Schizosaccharomyces pombe: one gene and its partners. Changing the gene in region 3 together with the main gene of any one other region gives a genetic interaction. Each region holds a gene or a part of one and is shown on either strand. Other genes may lie near its edges.

Region 1 (6,153 bases), on a different chromosome or scaffold from region 3:
GTCCAGGAGAAGCTACGTACACGGCGTCCCAGGGTGAACTAGGATCTCCCAATGAAGCAATTGCTGAGTAAAGGGCAGTGCCACTACTACGATGCTGAAACGTCCATTCGCGAGTATCTTTATTTAAGGCTGCTTTAAATTGAAAATTTCGAGAGACATTAACAATACGTTTATAAGCAGCTGATTGAGTATTTCCTTGCGCGCCTGAAGGCATTTCTAGAGCACTTAACTTCACCGAGGAGAAGTGACGAGAAATATAGAGAATAAAACCAATGAATCACTACAATAAGCTAGCAAAAAACTTTAAATCAATGTCGTTTGCGCTTGTTTAAGCAGATGATTAAACGTATAGAAAGTAGGAGACCGTACTATAAGCTCAATATTACATTGGACAGTGTACCCTAAATGACGGAAAATTCAAATGACCGAGAGAGGTAGTAAGACACCGAATTCACCGATATGAAAATGGAAATTCCCTGCGAATAACGAATATATGATGAATGAACCTTTTTACTAATGAATTATGAATAACTGATAAATGAGATGGTGTTCGTCATTGCCCAAGCTTTTGAAATGATGTGAAGACGCTAACACTGAGATGGTAGAACAAATCTGCGACTATGGCGCTGAAAATTCATTTCCATTAAAAGATTGGGGAGCTGAATACGTATCATTATTTCCATTTTTCCTTGTAGGCTTTGGACATGCCTGATAAGCATCGTTTAATGCAGGTAGAAGTGTATTTAAATTTTTACAAAAAGAGTTAATTGCATCACTAGCTTCTAACAAATGCTTATAATGATTATATACCAAAGATCTATGGTCGACAGAAAGCCCTTGAATCGAAGCAACCAAAGATTTATCACGCTGCAATAATTCGGCTGGTGTGGCTTTCTCCATAAATTTAGAAACGTAAGCATTTGAATCGAAATTTGGATCTGAGAACTCTGGATCAACTTTATCTAATGCTGTTTCTTCCACTGGCGAAACGGTATTAGAGCTAGACGGTTTTCGAGTTGTAGAAACAGTTGAAGATGAGCTATTTGAACCAGGTAGATTATAAAAGTCTCTTAAAGCTTGACGGCGTTTACTTGACATATTGTACAATTTACTTAACGACAGTGCTTAATAAATAATGAAATAAATGTATCTACAAGGCCAGCAACGAACAAAATACTGTTGCCGACAGAAAATGCTCTAGTGATAGAAATGAGTGAATAACGTACTCCTGTACATCTTTATATCATATATCGATGCTTCGAATATTTCTTTAAAACATTCTATTGCTTTGTTTCATATTGATAGTTTGATTAAAAAGTTTCGATACTTTTATTGCTGATCTGGTAGCAAAATCTCAACGCATTTTAAAAATGCATTTTCGCGGTATTGCGATTCTTTGGTAGATGACAAAAACAAGACTAACGATTGCACGCGTTAGAAAATTACATAACCATACTTCAGCTTCTTTTTCCATAGTTATTTCCATTAGTTATGATAATATTCGATAATACAGAGAGCGTCAAGCATATATATATTATTTAACCTTTGAGCGTTTGCTGTTCTTCTAAACTGAATTGTAGGCTTAGTGTTGAAAGAGAATTTAGCACTTTTAACAAAATCTCATTCTTTCTGTTAAACTAGAAATGCATATTTAATTTTCTTAAATTTAGTTTCCTCCCCTTAAAAGTAGTTGAATATTTGATTTAAATTTGCAAATATATTTTAACTTCAGTATACACTGAAACAGTTTTTTAACATACAGTAAACTTGCCTAACCTCGTGCAAAGCGGTTTCTTCTGTTCATTTTAACATTTTGTTGAAAAGTCTTCTTGTTATATAAATAGACAGTTTGACGGATGGAGTTTATGCAACAGTACTTCCTTCTTCAGAAACCAGCTTGCATATGATTTGGTAAATTCAATTAGTATCATCGCTACTCTCTTTTGTTGTACTGAAAAATCTAAGCTCAAACATACGCTTTCCCGTGTTTATAAGGTGTTATTTTATGCTTTATTAACTATTTTACAAGGGAACCTTACATTTGGCTCTGTAATGTGCAATTACTGTTATCAAAACTCGAAATAGTATACGAAAGATTTCCAGGTTTCTGAAAAGGTTGTTTTACCTTTAAAATGTGTCATTCGAAAGAAGTAAAATTTAAAACCAATTTTCATCACCCGTATACCCCATACGATATCCAACTAGAGTTCATGCGCAGTTTGTACTCTTCCATCAGCGATGGAAAGATTGGGATTTTTGAATCACCAACTGGAACGGGAAAAAGTTTGAGTTTAATCTGTGCTTCACTTACTTGGCTAGACGAACATGGAGGTGTTTTACTTGAGGATAATGAAAAATCTAATGACAATAAATCTAACACATCCTCAAAAATTCCAGATTGGGTTCTAGAGCAAGACTTGAAAATACAAAAGGATCTAGTAAAAGAAACACATGCACGGCTTGAACAGCGCCTTGAAGAAATTCGAAAGAGGAACCAAAGTCGCAAAAATCAAATGAGCAATAATTCAACTACATACCACAGGGAAACAAAAAGGAGGAACATAAACGCAGAAGCCTCAACCTCAGACAATTGTAATAATTCTAATACTTCGGTTGATCCGATGGACGAATATCTAGTTACAGCAGAATATACGATGCCATCGACTTCTGAACAATCTGAAGATTTATTTAATAACGGTTACAGTTCCAAAGTCTCTGAACTATTGCGAAAATTAAGTCCCGATAATGAAAAACCACCTATAGTTCAAAAGGTACGAATTTAGGTGCTTATAAGGAATATTCATTTAGTGGTAATATTTTTCTAACCTACTGCTAGATATATTTTACTTCTCGAACCCACTCTCAATTGCAACAGCTTGTTCAGGAAATTAAAAAGCTCAATAATCAAACCTTCTCAACGCCAATACGAGTAGTTTCTTTGGCTTCTCGTAAGAATCTTTGTATTAATAATGAAGTCCGGAAACTTCGACCAACGTCTGCTTTAAATGAAAAATGCATTGAGCTTCAAGGTACTTTAACAACTTCACTAGATTGAAAATTCAGTTTAATATTAACTTTTACATTTTAGGATCAGCTCACAAGTGTCCCTTTTTACAAGACAACACTCAATTATGGGACTTCCGGGATGAAGCACTTGCTGAAATAATGGATATTGAAGAACTCGTAGAATTGGGCCAGCGTTTAAAGGTCTGCCCTTATTACGGAACGAGGGAAGCAGTGGATTCAGCTCAAATTGTGACCCTACCTTATCCTTTATTGCTACAAGAATCAGCACGAAATGCGCTTAATTTGACTCTTAAAGACAATATATGTATAATTGACGAAGCTCATAACTTGATTGATGCAATCTGTTCCATGCATTCTTCTTCCATCTCGTTTAGACAAGTTTGTATTGCTGAAACTCAATTGCAACAATATTTTCTGCGGTTTGAAAAACGTCTGAATGGTAATAATAGAATGCATATAAAGCAATTGATCAAAGTTGTCTATAACCTAAAATCTTTTTTTTTAAATTGTCTAGAAACTAATACGAATTCAAAAGTGATCAATGTCGATTCTTTACTGGTATCAAATGGTGCGGATCAAATTAACTTGCACCATCTGTCTGAATACTTGAATGTTTCAAAACTAGCAAGAAAAGTCGATGGTTATACGAAATATATGCATTCATTGGGGACACAAGAATTGGAGTCTTTGAATGATCTTCGTAGTGAAAGATTTTCAAACGGCAATGGATATGAAGAGGATCCATACACACCGGTCCTAATGCAATTAGAATCTTTCTTACTGAATATCGCCAACCCTGCTCCTGAGGGGAAACTATTTTACGAAAAACAAACGGGGGACAATCCATATTTAAAATATTTGTTACTCGATCCATCCAAACATGTCGAGATATTGACCGAACAATGTCGTTCAGTGAATTTAGCTGGTGGCACCATGTCACCGATTGATGACTTTATAACCCTTTTATTTTCAGATGAACAATCTCGTATACTTCCATTTTCATGTGACCATATAGTTCCTCCTGAAAATATTACAACCATTCTAGTTTCTCAAGGTCCTGCAGGCGTCCCTTTTGAATTTACACATAAAAGAAAAGACGATGAGAATTTATTAAAAGATTTGGGAAGGACTTTTCAGAACTTCATTTCCATTATCCCAGATGGCGTCGTGGTTTTCTTTCCCAGTTTTGCATTTTTGCAGCAAGCTGTAAAAGTATGGGAAATGAATGGAATTACAAATCGTTTAAATGCAAAAAAACCATTATTTATTGAAAGTAAAGATTTTGGCGATAATCCTTTGGATACTTTTGAACACTATAAACAGTCCGTAGATGCAGGCTTGAGTGGAATGTTGTTTAGCGTGATAGGAGGAAGACTTTCAGAAGGAATCAACTTTTCAGATAAACTTGGCCGAGCCGTAATGGTGGTAGGAATGCCGTTCCCTAACTCGCAAGATGTGGAATGGCAAGCCAAGGTCTCATACGTAGAGGAAAAGGCCAAGGAGAAAGGCATAAATGCAAAACAAGCTTCACAGGAATTTTATGAAAATACCTGTATGCGAGCAGTAAATCAAAGTATAGGTCGAGCGATTCGACACCGAGATGATTATGCAAGTATAATTCTTTTGGATTCCAGATATAATCGATCAAGTATACAAAGGAAGTTACCAAACTGGTTAAGCAAAAACATCCATTCTAGCCCTAATTTCGGACCTGCTATACGGCAACTTGCTACTTTTTTCCGGGCTAAAAAGATGTGTGATTAGACATATGGTTTGCGTTACAGCGTCAACATAGGCTTATTTTAGAATTACGCTTCGCATATTGTAAATAGATTACTCTATAATTTTTAGAAAATACACCTCTCTCGTATTTACCGACTACTCAAATCATTACTCGTCAAAGGTATAAAAACAAGATCTATTTTGAACGTCAATTAAGACTGCACTAATGGTGTCGCAAATGAAGGTTGTTTAGGTAGAAAAAAACCAACTTGAGAAAAGTTACGACTTAGAGCAGGAAGAGGCCTCTGCCATGATATCCAAGCGTCACGCTAGGGACCGCTTAATTCAGTCCATCGAGCTGTAGATGATCCGTTTATTTACTAATTCAAAGTTAGAAGTCTGCAGGTCTGAGTAATATAATACAACACTTACGATCTAGCTCTCATCTTTCTTCTTTTACGTTTAAGGCGTCTCACGCGTTTCTTCCTCCACTTATCACGCATTGTGGTTATGGATGACTAGCAGACTAGGCAATATTTCATCTGTATAGCACATTGTGACTGCTCTTTTAAGAACACACAATACGGACGTAACACATTCAAAAGTACAGTCAAGTAACAGAATTACTCTAGTATGTCAAGGAACGAAATGTAAACATACAAAAAGTGGTTAATTACATATTTTATTTCAAATGATCCGTCAACGATAGTAAGTGATTTTTAAGTGCTTCCTTTTGCATATCTTTTTTGAAAGGTTCAGCTCTTCAAAATCAGATTTAATAATAATCCATTTAATGCTATATCATCCATTCATATTATCCTTTAATGACAACATACCTGATGTTGTTGTATACGACTTGCGATCTATTGTCAAACGCTGTGTAAACTTCAAGCATACTACATACTTTAGTTTGTAAACCGTATACAGAACAGGTATATCATAAACATTCTTTAAAGTCTAGTAAGTAGTCTACAGGGAAGGTGAAACGCATTTTTGTGCCATAGAATAGTATAAATTTATTCTTAGACATTGTAATTAGACTGCTATATAAGATACTGAAAGCATCCGGAACAAGTACTGTGTTTTTAAGTCGAACTGTTAAACTCCTTGACAATTTGAGCTACTTTAATCATCTATTAAAAACAAATTTTAAAATGCAACGTTAACCCTTTGGTACTAAAAGATACCATGTAAAAAATGTATAATCCAATAAATTTAAAGGATATGCTAGCAATGTATATGAATACCAATTGTGTATAACAGAATGGATTTAATATCTGTAAAAACTGAATGATACCTTTTTTAAAGTAAGAGATAGAGGTGGCTTTTTCTTTTGCGGCATTTGCCAAGCAAACAACACCACCCCAAATATTTAACGCAATCTCGCTCCACTGCACAAAGCAT
Region 2 (6,872 bases), on a different chromosome or scaffold from region 3:
CATTTGTTTGATATCTATGGACTTTGCTCATGCACATCGTACAAAGCCGTTTATATGGTAATGCTTTAACTAAACGAAATTAATCTCTTTTTTCCAAAGATGCTAAAGAACTTTTATTTATTTTCACATTCGTTCGGCAAGTAGGTAATTTCCGTCATAATTCTATAAGAGGCGAATATGCAATTGTTAATATATTTACATCTTGTCCTTTCACACTTCAAATAATAAATAATAAAGCAAGATTAAAAGCAAGAAATACAATTGAAAAATCGTAAATATATACAGAGATTTTGTCTTCGGTATGGCCTATTCCACATTGAAAATTTCGCAACCCGGTATGGTGGCTACAATATTAGTTACATTCAAAGTGTATTTGTTGAATCTTTTGTGCACAGTATATGGATCTGAAATTTCATTCTCATTCACTAGAGGCATCATTGGTAATATTGAATCCCTGGCATGTTATATTGGGCTTTGTTTTTTTGTTTATGGTATGAAGGGATAGGATTAAAGGCTTCGTTCAAAAAATATATCTAATGTACAGTAGGTATTCTGCAATCAAATTTTGAGTTTGTAGTCTGGTGAATTTATCGCACCATCTAATTGAGATCGACAATTATCAAGGGAGCTTTCACATAGAGTATTAAGAAGCACTAGAGATATGGGTCAAAGCATGTATGGTTTTTTGTTTTCTTTATTCATTTTTTCAAAGTTTAAATTTAAATGGAACTTTTTAAGGCATGTTGGCACCACCGATTTGCAATTCAAAATTGAACCAAATTAGCAACATTTTGGATTGGCTACTGTTAATCAACCTTTAGAGCCTGCAGAAAATTTATCCAGAAATGGAGTACATGACTTCTCCATTGTCATTCAAAATTAACAAGCGAAAAAACCAAATACCAACATGTGCTTCTAGAATGGGTTATGGGTTATCGCGTTCTGAAAGTTGGCTGGAGACTCAATCTTTTTTAATTGACCTTGTTTATCTAATGAGCTCAAGTTTAACCATTATTAAAAAATGAATGCTCGAATGCAAAGGTATTTGGTTCCTTACTTTATTAATTTTGCGAGAAGCTTGTTTATAGGCATTCTTTGTACCGAAATCAAAACCCGATAGTCAAATATAATAGTTTTTAATCATTATAAAAATGGCGATGCGACTAATTGTGTAAAAAGTTTTTCTATGGACAATCTTACTGTTGTTTCATTTCTTTTATTATTATAGAGCAATTGAACATACTATTGTTTTTTAAAAACGCTCAACTTTCTTATTTAGACACAGATGGGTTAGACTCCGTGCTGCACACTGATACAAAGTCAGCTACGCAGTTTGGTATCTGCTTTAACGATAACATAGAACTGCGGTAATTTTTCCTTGTTAACGTATTACAATACACAGGTATTACAAGTAGCAATTGAGTATAGGTATTAAATTATCTAGATTGCATTGTGACCTATAACTAATATAGCTTATAACTGAAGTTCATTCCTCAGTTCAGTTGCAGCTCAATTTATAATCTTTTTAGTCTTCATTAGCCAGCGTCTATGTAAATATGAAAATGGTTTTGCGCATTTATCAATAAACTGCTCTAAAGTAATATCCTAACATATGACATATAGTGATACGTTACGTGTTCTTCATTAGAGCAGTGTGTTGTTAACACCGTATTTCCTTTACGGGGCGATTCTCCGTTTCTTTAAATTTTGACTTCTGTAAAGGAGTGCGATTCAACAACCTGGTCGAAATACAAACTGTTATAACATGAATTGGCATTGCTAGTTTGGATTGTTGTTTGAAAGTTGATTTGTATATTATAACTTTAAAATTACTTTGTACTTGATACCTTTTTCAAATTTCAGAGCTTCAATTTTGCTCTGAAATTGAACACATCGACTTTATATATTTATTGCTCATTACTAAAAAACATTCAGTTTTATATTCTGAGTTCGCGGTCGTCTATTATTTTAGTCCTTTAGCAATTGTCATATTAACATAAACCCTCTCCTTATTTTATTTTTTAAATTCGTTCAGGCATCATTTGGAGGGTTTGCTAAAAATCATCTCACCAAACAAGAGGTTATTAGTTTTGCGAATGTCGCCTAAACAAGAGGAGTATGAAGTTGAAAGGATTGTGGACGAAAAATTGGATCGTAATGGAGCTGTCAAACTATATCGCATTCGATGGTTGAACTATTCATCTAGAAGTGATACTTGGGAGCCCCCTGAGAACCTTTCTGGATGTTCTGCCGTTTTAGCAGAATGGAAAAGGCGGAAGAGGAGACTAAAGGGAAGTAACTCCGACTCGGATTCACCGCACCATGCGAGCAATCCACATCCAAACAGTAGACAAAAGCACCAACATCAAACTTCAAAGTCAGTGCCTCGTTCTCAAAGATTTTCGCGGGAATTGAATGTAAAAAAGGAAAATAAAAAGGTTTTTTCTTCTCAAACTACCAAGAGACAATCTCGAAAACAATCCACCGCTCTGACGACGAATGATACTAGTATCATTTTAGACGATAGTCTTCATACAAATTCAAAGAAGCTGGGGAAGACGAGAAATGAAGTGAAGGAGGAATCTCAAAAAAGAGAACTAGTTTCCAATTCTATTAAAGAAGCTACATCCCCCAAAACATCTTCAATTCTCACAAAACCGCGAAACCCTTCCAAACTTGACTCTTATACCCATCTAAGTTTTTACGAAAAGAGAGAGCTATTTCGTAAGAAACTGCGGGAAATTGAAGGACCCGAAGTAACGCTTGTCAATGAAGTTGACGATGAACCCTGTCCATCTTTAGATTTTCAATTCATTAGCCAGTACCGCTTAACACAAGGTGTTATCCCGCCTGATCCAAATTTTCAATCTGGATGCAATTGCTCGTCCCTTGGCGGTTGTGACCTTAACAATCCTTCTCGTTGTGAGTGTTTAGATGATTTGGATGAGCCAACTCATTTTGCCTATGATGCACAGGGGCGGGTCCGTGCAGATACGGGTGCCGTTATATATGAATGCAACTCTTTTTGTTCTTGTTCAATGGAGTGTCCTAATCGCGTTGTTCAACGTGGTAGAACTCTTCCGCTTGAAATATTTAAAACAAAAGAAAAAGGATGGGGTGTACGTTCGCTTCGATTTGCCCCTGCTGGCACGTTTATCACTTGCTATTTAGGAGAAGTCATAACTTCAGCAGAGGCCGCCAAGCGTGACAAAAATTATGACGACGACGGTATTACCTATTTATTTGATTTAGACATGTTTGATGATGCTAGCGAGTATACAGTGGATGCTCAGAACTATGGAGATGTCTCTCGTTTTTTTAACCACTCCTGTTCACCTAATATAGCTATTTATTCTGCTGTTCGGAACCATGGATTTCGAACCATTTATGATCTCGCTTTTTTTGCCATCAAAGACATTCAGCCTCTAGAGGAGCTTACATTTGATTACGCTGGTGCAAAAGATTTCTCACCTGTTCAATCTCAAAAATCTCAGCAAAATAGAATTTCAAAACTTCGCCGGCAGTGCAAATGTGGTTCCGCTAATTGTCGTGGCTGGCTTTTCGGTTAAGCTAATTTATTACTGGTTGACTCCAATAATTACAATTTGTTTTTCTCCATTACTGTTAAACTGAAAAAGGTCATTCATTTTCTAAGCAACGAGATTATGTATATTATCTGACCTGTGGGATTTGCCGAACAATTATCGGTAAAACATATCGGTGCTTATATTTTTTACACTTGTTGAAAGCATTATAGTAATTGTTGTAAAGCCTAGCGTTAATGGAAAAACTCTTTTCATCTGCTGCGCACATGTGAAGTAAAAAGGGCGTTTAAGCGTTAACGGTAATGGACCGTCCTTCAGAAGCTATAGAAGGAGCTGCTTCTGTTTCGAGCACCTGGGGCATCTGATTGTTTTCTCCTTCTGCTGAGGCGAGGGCATCAGTTGTTTCTTCAGCTGGGTCTTCTTGTGCAGCTGTTCGAGGCGTTGGAGTTGTTGTAGGAGTTAAGGGAGTTTCCGGTTTTATTGTGGTTTTTGAGAACTGGGAAATTTCTTTTAGTCTCCCGTCTTTATCAAACTTCTTATGCACTTTTTTTTGCACCAAACCTGAGAGCTTCTTTGAAAGGTTGGAAGGAAATATCTCAAATCCTGCCTTAGCAAATTCAAGGGAAGGATCTGCCTGTAAAGTTTTAACACTTTTGGTAGGTTTAGCATACTTGTGAAGCTTAAAGCCGAATACTCTCTTGTTGCCTCCTTTTTTCTTCTTATGATGCCGATGATGCTTTTTTCCGGCTTTCTTAGACGTTCTATCTTCATTGCTGACAACACTCTCTTCATTAGTAGCTGCAGTGGAAGGGTCTTGATCGTCTGCAGTAGGGGTCGCAACATCGGGAAGTGCTATATCAGGAAGTGCAATATCAGTCTCTTCTATGAAAGCTTGTTCAACTGATTGGGCTGTACCTTTAACATCTTCTTCAATGGCGTCTGCTATTTGACCGATGGGGGTTCCGTTATCATTTTGAGTAGAAGCTTGCTCAACATTTTGAGTTGATGTTGATTCTTCTGCCGGACCTGTGGCTGGTTTTTCTTCTGATGCGGGAGCCACTTCTTCCGTAGTAGCAGGAAAATGTTCTTCAGTGGTGGGAATTTGGTTAGTTTCATTCTCAGGAACTTCGACTGATTGTGCTTCAACAGTAGTATCAACCGGGTCAGCTGACGTTTCATTATCAATGGGACTAGCCGTATCGTTTTGCGGAGTTTTCCCCTTAATCATGTTTTGAAAAAAGTCAAAAAGACCGTCTTTGGCAACAGAATTGTTTTGTTTTCCGCCATGAGATTTACTAGATGACTTTTTCGCGTCCCGTCCGTTAGAAAGCATTGGAAGGAAATAACGAAATGTTTCACTTGCTGAAGGACCTGAACGAGCTGCTAACTTGCCGAGTCTTTTAAGCGTGTCATTGTAAGCACGAAGCTCTTTAATTTTATCTTTGGTTTCCTTTTTCTTAGCAATGGCATTTTTGAGATCAGTAATCCATGTATTTTTACTTTCTGGGTCTAGGGCTTCAAGTGTTTCTGATTTACCATTGTTAAAATTGATGGTGAATTTGTTTCCAGTACCGGGTTCTATGGATACTGCATCAGTCTGAAAATACAGTTAGCACGGTTAAAACTAAAAATCAGGGGAATTAGGAATTCTTACCAAATTAATGATTCCGCTTGGGACACTAGTTGATTGAGATTTGGAGTAAAAGAGTAAACCACGGCAGTCTTGAGTAGCTTTAGCGATACGGTTAAGGTGATCATTAGCAGACTGGAAGAGGGAATCAGCATCAGAGTCGTGCATTTGCTCAGAAGCTAAGGAAGGTTCCGTTGGGTTACCTTGCAAAGTACCATGGAAGTGTTTTTTATAATAATGGTCTAATAAATCCATAGACATAGGGCCTTCTAGCATATAAAAATACCTTTTCATGACATGACTACATGTGGTTAGTAAGATTACTCAATCGATTGTTTGATTTTTAATAAATGGATGCTGTTTTGACTTACGGAATAAGTCCGTTGGATCGACAGTATAAATACCCACCAGTGGTGTAGGTCAATGGTTTTTCATCCTTGGCTTTCTTCTTGGATTTTTTTTCTTCAACCTTGGGAGCTGCCACGCTGTTTGGATCATCATCTGCAGGATCGATATTGTCGACTGTTTCAGGCTCCTTGGGTTCCTCAGGTGCTTGTACTTCTGCAGGAACAGCGTTTTCAGTGGCATCATCATTGTCGGTTTCGTTGCTCAATGGCACCTCCAGTGTCTCCACCTGGGCCTCAGCAGATCCCGAATCATGTTCATTGTGTTCCGACACATTTTCGAAAGTAGGTTCAGCAATCTGCTCAGGTCGTTCTTCACGGCCCTCATAAGACATGATAAGAAGTCGAAAACAACAGTTAGGCTCTCAATTTTGGATTTTTTTTATGCTGTAAATATTTGTGGTAGAGGAAAAGTCTGCGCCAAGCTGGTTATTTGAATACCAATTGTTGGCGAGAATGTAAACAAACAAATCGACTACCTAATATACAAACAAACGATGGACATCAATAGAAAAGGGAAAATACATAGAATTTACTTTTTAAATGTTAAAAAATTTCTACTAATTCATTCTTATTAATAAAATCTTCAACGGCCATTAAATCTTGTATTCGCTCATTCGTATCAAAACATATACATTCTTCTGGAATCGAGCTGTCTGCGATTGAATGAACTATATAGTATTGAGAGATTTTACAATTAAGTGTTTGTCTTTAATTTCTAATTGCGACTACCATCCTAAAATTTTCATTTGAGTTGAAATCTGTTTAACAACAACAGATGAGCCATATTTTTCATTGACTTTATACATGATTGTCACCATTAGTTCCTTTTTTTATAAAAATTAAATGTTGTTTAACTATTCTGCTCATTTGTTTTGCTTAAAAACTAAGTAGGTTTTAATTGGTAAGAATTTTACGAGATTTTAAATTTTTATTTATTTACTTATTATTTTTGACGAACGCTAGTTTCAAAAAAGCAAATCCAAACTCGAGGTATTTTCAAATTGTTTAAAATTTTCAATAGAATGGAAGGATGTTTTTTAATGCTTTCCACATCTTTGAATTGGAAATTTCCTTTTAATATTTACACTTCTTCCAAGAAAACTATAGCAATTTGTTTCATTATAACGACATAAGTTTGTAGGAGAAAAAGTGTGAGAATATAAAAGTTCCATAATAATACATTATTCTCTATGGATTAATTATTTTTTTTAAATATTTTTTTAAGTTAAAAAGCTGGTCTTTCCATCCATGTAAAAATTGGAAAAGGAATATCGAGAAAGCAAAATAAAC
Region 3 (8,382 bases):
TGAGAAAGGGGAAACATACGCACGAATTTATGACTAAAAAACGTTAGTACAAATTTTAAAATTAACAGGGAAATGGAGAGATCATAGGGAAAAATAATTGTAAGCTGAATGGATTCAACGTTTACGTACCTTTCTGCAACTGCGTAAAAGGGCTTATGTGCATGTTTGGCAAAAACGGCAAGTTGGAAAGTACCGATTTGATTAATGAGTCCTCCGTTTTCGACAACACCTTCTGCGCCAACCAAGACCAAATCTACACGGTTCATAGTAAAGCTTACAGCGGAATCCAAAACCATGCAAGTAGGAATACAAGCATTTTTTAATGTTCTCGTCATTAGACAGCCTGAGCCGCTAGGTCTTGATTCTGTGACAAAAACTTTGAAACGAACGTGACGCTTGGCAGCAGCCAAAAGAACAGCCGCAACACCGCGTGAAAACCCATGGGTAAGAATAACACTACCATCTCGAATAAGAGGGTAACCTAAATGTGCAATTCTTTGTCGACAAGCACGAGCACGCTGAATAAAGAGTTTTCCATTTTCTACCAAGTGACGTTTGCATTGCTCAAAATCCTAAAGCCGTGGAGAATTAGTAAAGAAAAGAAAACTACTTTGCATCAACACATACCCCGACATCGTGTAGTGATCGAGTGACAAACCGTTGGAAAATGTCACAACCAGCTGAAAGCGAAATGTTGTTTTGAACGCCTTCCTTCAGCGTATTTGAGCCATTTTGTAAAATGTCCATAAATTCTGAAATTGTCTTGGCTAATAGAAAAACATCAGTAAATTCATTTCTCACATGAGTACTACAAATTAACATACCTTGAGAGCGCGACAAAAGCTGGACTAAAGCCTCAATGGCGGCTACAGGCATCGTGATTTCTGGATCATCTTGCAAAAATTTTTTGTAAACCTGGACGATGTCAAATTCTCCTTGAGAATGTCGAACGATTCCCGAAGAATCCGATTCCACCATATTCGCAGATGCTAGACGCTCTTGCTTAGTAGCAACATCTTTTCCATACTTTAAGGATATCCAACAAAATCAAATAACGGGCAATGCCTTTTTGTATTAAATTGTAAGCTACGCAATTTGGTATCTGATTTAAGGATACGTAGAACTGCGGTGAGTTTTCCTTGTGATCTATTATATTACAATACACAGGTTGTATAAGTAGCAACTGAGTATAGGTATTGTATTAACTGAGTTATAATGTTACCTATCACTAATATAGCTCATAACTGAACTGAGGAACGAGGTTCAGCAGTAGCTCTATTTATATTATTCAGATAATATAGATCTTAATAGATTATCATTAAGATCAATCTCAATATCGTATCATACATGGTACGATATATAATTAGAACATGTGACATATAGTGATACGCAACGTAGATGATGCGATGTCGAGATTGATATTGATAATACTATATTAACAGATAGATTATTTGGATAGAATCGATAGAGATACAACTAAACCTCATTTCGCAGTTCAGTTATAAGTGATAGGTGACATTATAACCTAAATAGTACAATACCAGTACTTAGTCATTACTTATATAACCCGGCTATTATAATATAATGGATCATATGCAAAATTCACCAGTTTTTCGTATCGTTAAAGCAGATACCAAACTGCGTAGCTGACATTATACGGCGTTTTGGATACTGATCTACAGATATGTTCCTATAGATATTTATGTAGGTGATTTGAATGGTATTTACATATAAATTGGTTTATTAAATAGCTTATATTTAATTAAAGCTAAATATTGAGAATAATTTTAATATCATATTCTTGACTGAGTACATCTGAGGATAATCATGAAATTCTTCCTCGGTGATCAGTAAACAATGCTTGACTGTTGATTTCCAATATGTAACGTTCAACGATACTTATCATTGTATAGATAGTGAATTTGTAGTATAATTTACTATGTTCCTAATAGTTGAGCGTATCATGAACGAAATATGTCAAAACGCTTCCATTTTAAAAAAAAAGGAGTACTGATGAAAGCAGTAATTGGATTTGGTAAAAAGTAATATAGAAAGTTTTTTAAAAAACTATTTTATGTTTAAGAGACCTTTCAAAAGTTCATGACCATTTCTACGAGAAACTAATCTTTAGTCCAACCTTCGTAAATCTCGCTTATATTAAGCTTGATTTTACTTCGGTATTTATGGATGACGCGAACACTAAACTGGTATAGAAAAAACGCTATTACTTTCAGCATCTAAAGAAAATCATTTATGATAATTTCTATGCTTTCAATTATATCTAAATATTTACATGCTCAATCATTCAAAGCGATGCTACAAAAATATTATGTTTTAGTTGTCGACTCGAATTTCAGTAAAATCCTAACTTTATTGCTAGACATCCGTAGGTTTTCATTTATGCTATAAATCTGTGAATCACCTCGTGATCGGCAAGTTGTTAAAATAATCTTTTAAGTAACTCTAATACCATGCACTATAGTAAAGAAGGTATATATTTCTTTGCGTGCCTAGTTCTTGTTTTCAATAGCAATAGTCGTTATCTCCCATAGCTTTTAATTCTGCTCATCGATGAGAGTAACATATTCCAATATCTTCTCTACATTATCAAATCGTTTTGCAATTATAAAAATATCAATAGCTTTCGATTTCCCCCAATATGGCTAATGCTAAAATTTATAACATTGATGTAGAATTTGGCTTAGTTAAGATGCAAGTTGAAAATGTCTTATGTTTTATGATTATCAGAAAATGTTTTGTGTAGTATCTGATATTAAAAAATGCATATCAACTTTTACAATAAATTCGCTTGCGCAAAATGTATAGAGACTGCATATCTCGTTTCTTCTCCCTGCGGAGTGCCTGTAACTGGCGTCTTGCACTTTCATTCAAAATCGAAATTTTTTGGTAAGGATTTGATAGAGATTGTCACTTGGTAGCATATTTTTTCTATCTTGAATTCCTTTTTCTAGGCTTTTGTGGCTCTTGGCCGTCCACTCTTTATTTTTGTATTCAACTGTTTTTTAATCACATAAGTCTAGTCATAATCTTTTGAACCAACTCAAAGCTTCTTTTTTTTATTTTTTTCTTTGTTAAAAAAAGTCTTTATTCCTTTTATTATATCAGTTTATGGATTTCATCGTGTATGGCTTTATGTGTTCATTCCTTCTGGGCAACGGCGGTAGACACAGCGACTTCATGTCATTTTATATCATCTGAAAACTGCTTAGTTTTATTACAAGCCTTAAAAATTAATATTTATCTCTGTAGTGAGGTTCATGGCTTACAATTCTTTACCTCTATCCCTTTATTTTCTACGGTGAAACATATACGCCCATATCGCCCTCCAGGATTAGATAGAGACTATTTATTTGTAGTTCTCAATGATGATACTTATTTTTCGATTTATTGGGACGAGGATTATCAAAAAGTGATCGTCGACCATCCTCCAGTTCGCTATCGAGTTACATTTCCTTGGAATCGCAACGCGAAAAGCTACTGCCTTGTCGACTTAAGGATGCGTGCTATTTTTTTAAGCATTGACGAAATTTCCATGATATGTATTAGAATCCTTTCTGCCGAAGAACGGTTGAAAACTGGCCGTTCTATAGATAGCGGATTTCCTTTTTCTTTTCCAGTGCATCTCATATATGATATGTGCATTCTCAATGATTCCAGTACCCCAACTCTTGTGGTCCTTCACAGCGATGGCTTAGATTGTTATGTAACAGCTTTTCTTTTAGATTTAAGCTCAAAAAGTTTGGGAAAGGGGATTAGACTATTTGAGCGGGTTAAACCGTCAATGATCATGCCCTTTGGAAAAAGAGGTTTGCTGGTTTTTGAGAGTTTGTTTATTCATTGCATGTATCGCGGTAATTTTGTTACAATCAATGGTCCTTGTACTACTTATATGCATTGGACTCCTTTGAAAGGGCAAAAGATGCATTATATTGTTTGTGATACTAATGGATATCTTTTCGGAGTATATTCGAGTATCTTGGGAAAAAACAAATGGAGCTTGGTTATGGAAAGACTACCAATCCCACCTTTCGACTTTATTACTTCTCTAAATTCCATCCATGAGGGACTCTTGTTTATCGGAAGCAAAAATTCGGAATCTAAACTTATTAACCTGTCTACTTTGAAGGATGTTGACTCAATACCCAACTTAGGACCCATTCATGATTTACTAGTACTCAAAAACGACATTGAAAAAAGTTTCCTTGTATGCGCAGGAACACCAAGAAACGCTTCTTTAATTTATTTTCAACATGCTCTGAAATTAGATATTTTAGGGCAGACGAAAATCTCGGGCATCCTTCGAGCTATGGTCCTACCATCATATCCAGAGCATAAGCTCTTCCTCGGGTTTCCTAGTGAAACTGTTGCTTTTAATATCAAAGAAGATTTCCAGTTAGAGCTAGACCCATCTCTATCAACCAAAGAAAGGACGATTGCGCTTTCAGGGACGAATGGTGAGTTTGTACAAGTCACATCTACTTTTCTTTGTATCTACGATTCTGCAAAGCGCTCTCGTTTAGTTTATATTGAAAAAATCACGAACGCTGCTTGCTATCAAGAATACTCCGCAATCGTTATCAATGGAACAGCATTGGCAATATTTAAAAAAGATACAGAAGTTGCACGAAAAGTTTTTGAAAGTGAAATTTCTTGCCTTGATTTTTCAGCGCAATTTCAAATAGGAGTTGGATTTTGGTCTAAGCAGGTGATGATACTTACATTCTCAGATAATTCGTCAATTAGCTGCGCCTTTCAAACCAACGTTCCATCATTGCCCAGAAATATTATTTTAGAAGGAGTTGGTGTTGACAGAAATCTTCTTTTAGTTTCTAGCGGAAGTGGTGAATTTAAATCTTATGTACTTTTCAAAAATAATCTGGTATTCTCTGAAACAAAACATTTCGGTACAACCCCTGTATCGTTTAGGAGATTTACGATGAATATTGGTACCTATATCATATGCAACAATGACTGTCCACACATGGTATATGGGTTTAATGGAGCACTATGTTATATGCCGCTTAGTATGCCTCAAAGTTATGATGTGTGTCAGTTTCGTGATAACTCAGGGAAGGATTTTCTCATTTCTGTATCATTAGGGGGCTTGAAATTCCTTCAACTTAATCCATTGCCAGAATTGACCCCAAGAAAAGTACTTTTGGAGCATGTTCCGTTACAAGCCATTATTTTTCAAAATAAACTGTTGCTTAGAACACTCGAGAATAGATATGAAGATTACGAAAGTTACAAGGAAAATTATCACTTGGAGTTGGTCGATAGTTATGATGATAATTCGTTCAGGGTTTTTTCTTTTACCGAAAATGAACGTTGTGAGAAAGTTTTGAAGATTAATGAGAGTTCTTTACTTGTAGGAACAAGCATTATAGAACAAGATAAGTTGGTGCCGGTAAATGGAAGATTAATTTTGTTAGAGTTTGAAAAGGAGCTTCAGTCTTTGAAGGTAGTTTCGTCTATGGTACTATCTGCGGCCGTGATAGATCTGGGGGTATATAATGATCGATACATCGTTGCATTTGGGCAACAAGTTGCAATCGTTAAACTTACCGAGGAAAGGCTTATGATAGATTCTAGGATATCACTAGGTTCTATAGTTTTACAACTCATCGTAGAGGGTAACGAGATTGCTATAGCGGACAGTATTGGACGTTTTACGATTATGTACTTCGATGGCCAAAAGTTTATTGTCGTTGCCAGATACCTTTTTGGAGAAAACATTGTGAAAGCAGCATTATATGAAGGAACAGTTTATATAATAGCAACTAATAGTGGCTTGCTAAAACTTCTTCGTTATAACAAAGATGCAAAAAACTTTAATGACAGATTCATTTGTGAAAGTGTGTACCATCTGCATGATAAAGTTAGCAAATTTCAAAATTTCCCAATAACAAATACCAATTCGTTTTTAGAGCCAAAAATGCTTTTTGCAACGGAAATTGGTGCTATTGGGAGTATAGTATCATTAAAAGATAAGGAGCTAGAACTGGAGGAACTTACAAGAAAAATTCGAAAATTAAAATTTTCATACTTGTCATCTATGGACTACGAAAGTATAGAAGCAGACCTCATTTCTCCAGTCCCGTTTATTGATGGAGACTTGGTTATCGATGTCAAAAGATGGGCATCTTCAGAACTTTTCCGATTATGCAGAAGTGTAGAACATAGGGAATCACTCAATTCTTACCAAAAAGTTCAAGCCCTCCTTGAGGAAATACAAAGTTTATGTTAAACGTATTATTGCCTTTTTGCTCTGAGTTATTATCTTACACTTTATGGATCATTGCAAATTTGGAAGTTTGGTTCTAGGACTGTATTATGCATTTGTGAGTAATACAAAAAAAATCTTTTGATTTATAATTATAAGTCACAAGCTGTCGCAACATGGCACTGATAAATACAAGTACATAAAGCTTGGTTAAAAAGTTATCAGTCTCAATTTCTTTCGTAAAATCTTCTTCGAAATTCAAGATATTTGTCATAATTGTTGCATCGCTCATCTATCTAAGACGAGATGACATATATTCTGGATTTCAATAATTAAAATGAAACTATTAAATTTCATATGACAGAAACTGAGCACTTCAACTGGCATAAAAGCTCAAAGGAATTTTTTAAGCTAAAAAATTAAAAAAAAACTTTCTCCATTTGGCGATCACGTGTTGCCAAGTATTTTTGGAGTGTAATTAAACTGGAGAAACTCTAGTGTAATTTCTCTATAGGAAGCTAGGGTCAGAGGAAATTAGGATCTTAAAAATTGTTAGTAGAATAAAACATGAACTAAATGCTTACCTTTGGCAAGCCACTTTTTGATTTGATCTTCAGTTTATGGTCTTTACAGGGGATGGTTTTCTGAGTAAGAATATCTGTAAAACTTGAAGGCACTTCTTTCCAGTGTTCTTTCAAATCTATTTCAACTTTAAACGACGAGGTAGAGCCTTCATTGCTTATGGCTATAATGACTCCTGGACGAGTAAATACATAAACTGAATCGTCAATGTATAGTTGAAAAGATAGCACGTATGTAAACTCTGGGTAGGTCTCAACCAAATTTTGACGCGTGCGTATCATTGAAGAAAGATGTCTAAACATTGGATTGGAAGTATTGTATTTACTTTTCCAAAGACCTTCTCTGTTGTCAGGATCGCTACCACCGTCAAACATCTGTTCTTGTCCATAATAGATAATTGGAATACCGTCCATGAAAATAAGTGCAGTTAATGCGTTAAGAGCCAGCTAAATAAATGTTAAAATATATAAAAAATGCAGGTACTAAATTGAAATATTGTTCAATAGACTTACGGCGATGTCTTTGGTTTCATGAAAAAAGCGAGGAAAATCATGATTTTCCAAAAAGTTACACAAGACGGTAACATCTTTGAAGTAATGTCGAACATCAAGTACGGCCTTATCATAAAATGAAAACATAGAATGTTTGGGGTCAAGAAAGGTTTCCCGCAATTGAAAAAATAAAGGGAAATTTAAAGTCGAAGGGAGATATTTTTGATAATCCCCGACGACTTTAGGATCTCCATGAAAAACTTCTCCTGTAGTAAATACATTAGCTGCTTCAATAAATGTTGGGAAGAAGGATTTTTCGACATGTTTGGCTGTGTCCAATCTGATACCATCAAATTGATAACGTTTAATTAGATCAGAAACCCAATTTTGAAAAAATTTGCGAACTTCATTCTTTTCGGTTCGAATGTCTGGTAGGTTCACATGTGAATCTCCTAACCAACCTGTAATTGTCTCATGGGGATCATCGTAATTTTGTACAAACTGCCAGTTGTGATAATACTTCCCAGAGTTAAATGGTTGATAAAGTAAGAAGTTTACGGGTTTGCTTCCGGCATGACCCATATGGTTGACAACTATGTCAACCATGCAAAGCATATTTTTCTCATGAATTGCATTGACTAGTTCTTTCAAATCTTCTTCTGTCCCAAAATTCTCGTTTAACTGAGTCATATCTTGTGCCCAATACCCATGATATGCCTGACCACAATCCGTAGTCTCAGATATGTTTTTAACTATTGGGCTAATCCATATTGCCGTACATCCCAGACTTTTAATGTAATCAAGGTTACGAGTAATACCCTTCCATGTACCCCCAAGGTAAAGATTTCCGCTAGCTTTTGCATAAAAATTATCCTCATCCAAAGCAAATCTGTCCGTTAATACCTGGTATATAACTTGCTTTCGCCATAATTTAAGGTAGGAAGGTTCTTTTTTCGGCAGAATGGAGCAGATTAGATTCATAGTCCCTTTTCGTCAAGTAAACAACATTCACTGGTAACTGTCTCGTTTACAATGCAGCTTTAAATCAAGCCTTCAGCTACGCCT

What was found. A genetic interaction does not mean that the proteins touch.
Region 1: mutations in rik1 (region 3) and chl1 together harm fitness more than expected from each alone (negative genetic interaction), as found in Schizosaccharomyces pombe (3 studies listed by BioGRID, with this or other methods).
Region 2: mutations in rik1 (region 3) and clr4 together harm fitness less than expected from each alone (positive genetic interaction), as found in Schizosaccharomyces pombe (4 studies listed by BioGRID, with this or other methods).

The regions. Positions count from the first base shown.
Region 1 is NC_003424.3:5,396,982-5,403,134, forward strand, and holds chl1 (ATP-dependent DNA helicase Chl1), read left to right. Parts: upstream 1-1,763; 5' UTR 1,764-2,132; coding exon 2,133-2,771; intron 2,772-2,836; coding exon 2,837-3,029; intron 3,030-3,088; coding exon 3,089-4,791; 3' UTR 4,792-5,122; coding exon of another isoform or gene 5,123-5,129; 3' UTR 5,130-5,181; coding exon of another isoform or gene 5,182-5,252; 3' UTR 5,253-5,429; downstream 5,430-6,153. Other genes in the region: trehalose-phosphate synthase Tps2, read right to left, coding at 1-214; GARP complex subunit Vps51, read right to left, coding at 619-1,098; rpl4101 (60S ribosomal protein L41), read right to left, coding at 5,123-5,129, 5,182-5,252. UniProt on the Schizosaccharomyces pombe protein: ATP-dependent DNA helicase important for chromosome transmission and normal cell cycle progression in G(2)/M.
Region 2 is NC_003423.3:453,272-460,143, reverse strand, and holds clr4 (histone lysine H3-K9 methyltransferase (Suv39) Clr4), read left to right. Parts: upstream 1-1,733; 5' UTR 1,734-2,096; coding exon 2,097-3,569; 3' UTR 3,570-3,831; coding exon of another isoform or gene 3,832-5,142; 3' UTR 5,143-5,199; coding exon of another isoform or gene 5,200-5,476; 3' UTR 5,477-5,546; coding exon of another isoform or gene 5,547-5,914; 3' UTR 5,915-6,148; downstream 6,149-6,872. Other genes in the region: pleckstrin homology domain protein Meu6, read right to left, coding at 3,832-5,142, 5,200-5,476, 5,547-5,914. UniProt on the Schizosaccharomyces pombe protein: Histone methyltransferase which contributes to the establishment of heterochromatin by specifically methylating histone H3 to form H3K9me. Part of the Clr4 methyltransferase complex (ClrC).
Region 3 is NC_003421.2:1,465,029-1,473,410, forward strand, and holds rik1 (CLRC ubiquitin ligase complex WD repeat protein Rik1), read left to right. Parts: upstream 1-2,853; 5' UTR 2,854-3,145; coding exon 3,146-6,268; 3' UTR 6,269-6,752; coding exon of another isoform or gene 6,753-6,785; 3' UTR 6,786-6,828; downstream 6,829-8,382. Other genes in the region: translation initiation factor eIF2B alpha subunit Gcn3, read right to left, coding at 1-33, 130-572, 628-767, 825-978; SPOM_SPCC11E10.09C (alpha-amylase-like protein), read right to left, coding at 6,753-6,785, 6,829-7,272, 7,339-8,298. UniProt on the Schizosaccharomyces pombe protein: Component of the Clr4 methyltransferase complex (ClrC) which contributes to the establishment of heterochromatin by specifically methylating histone H3 to form H3K9me.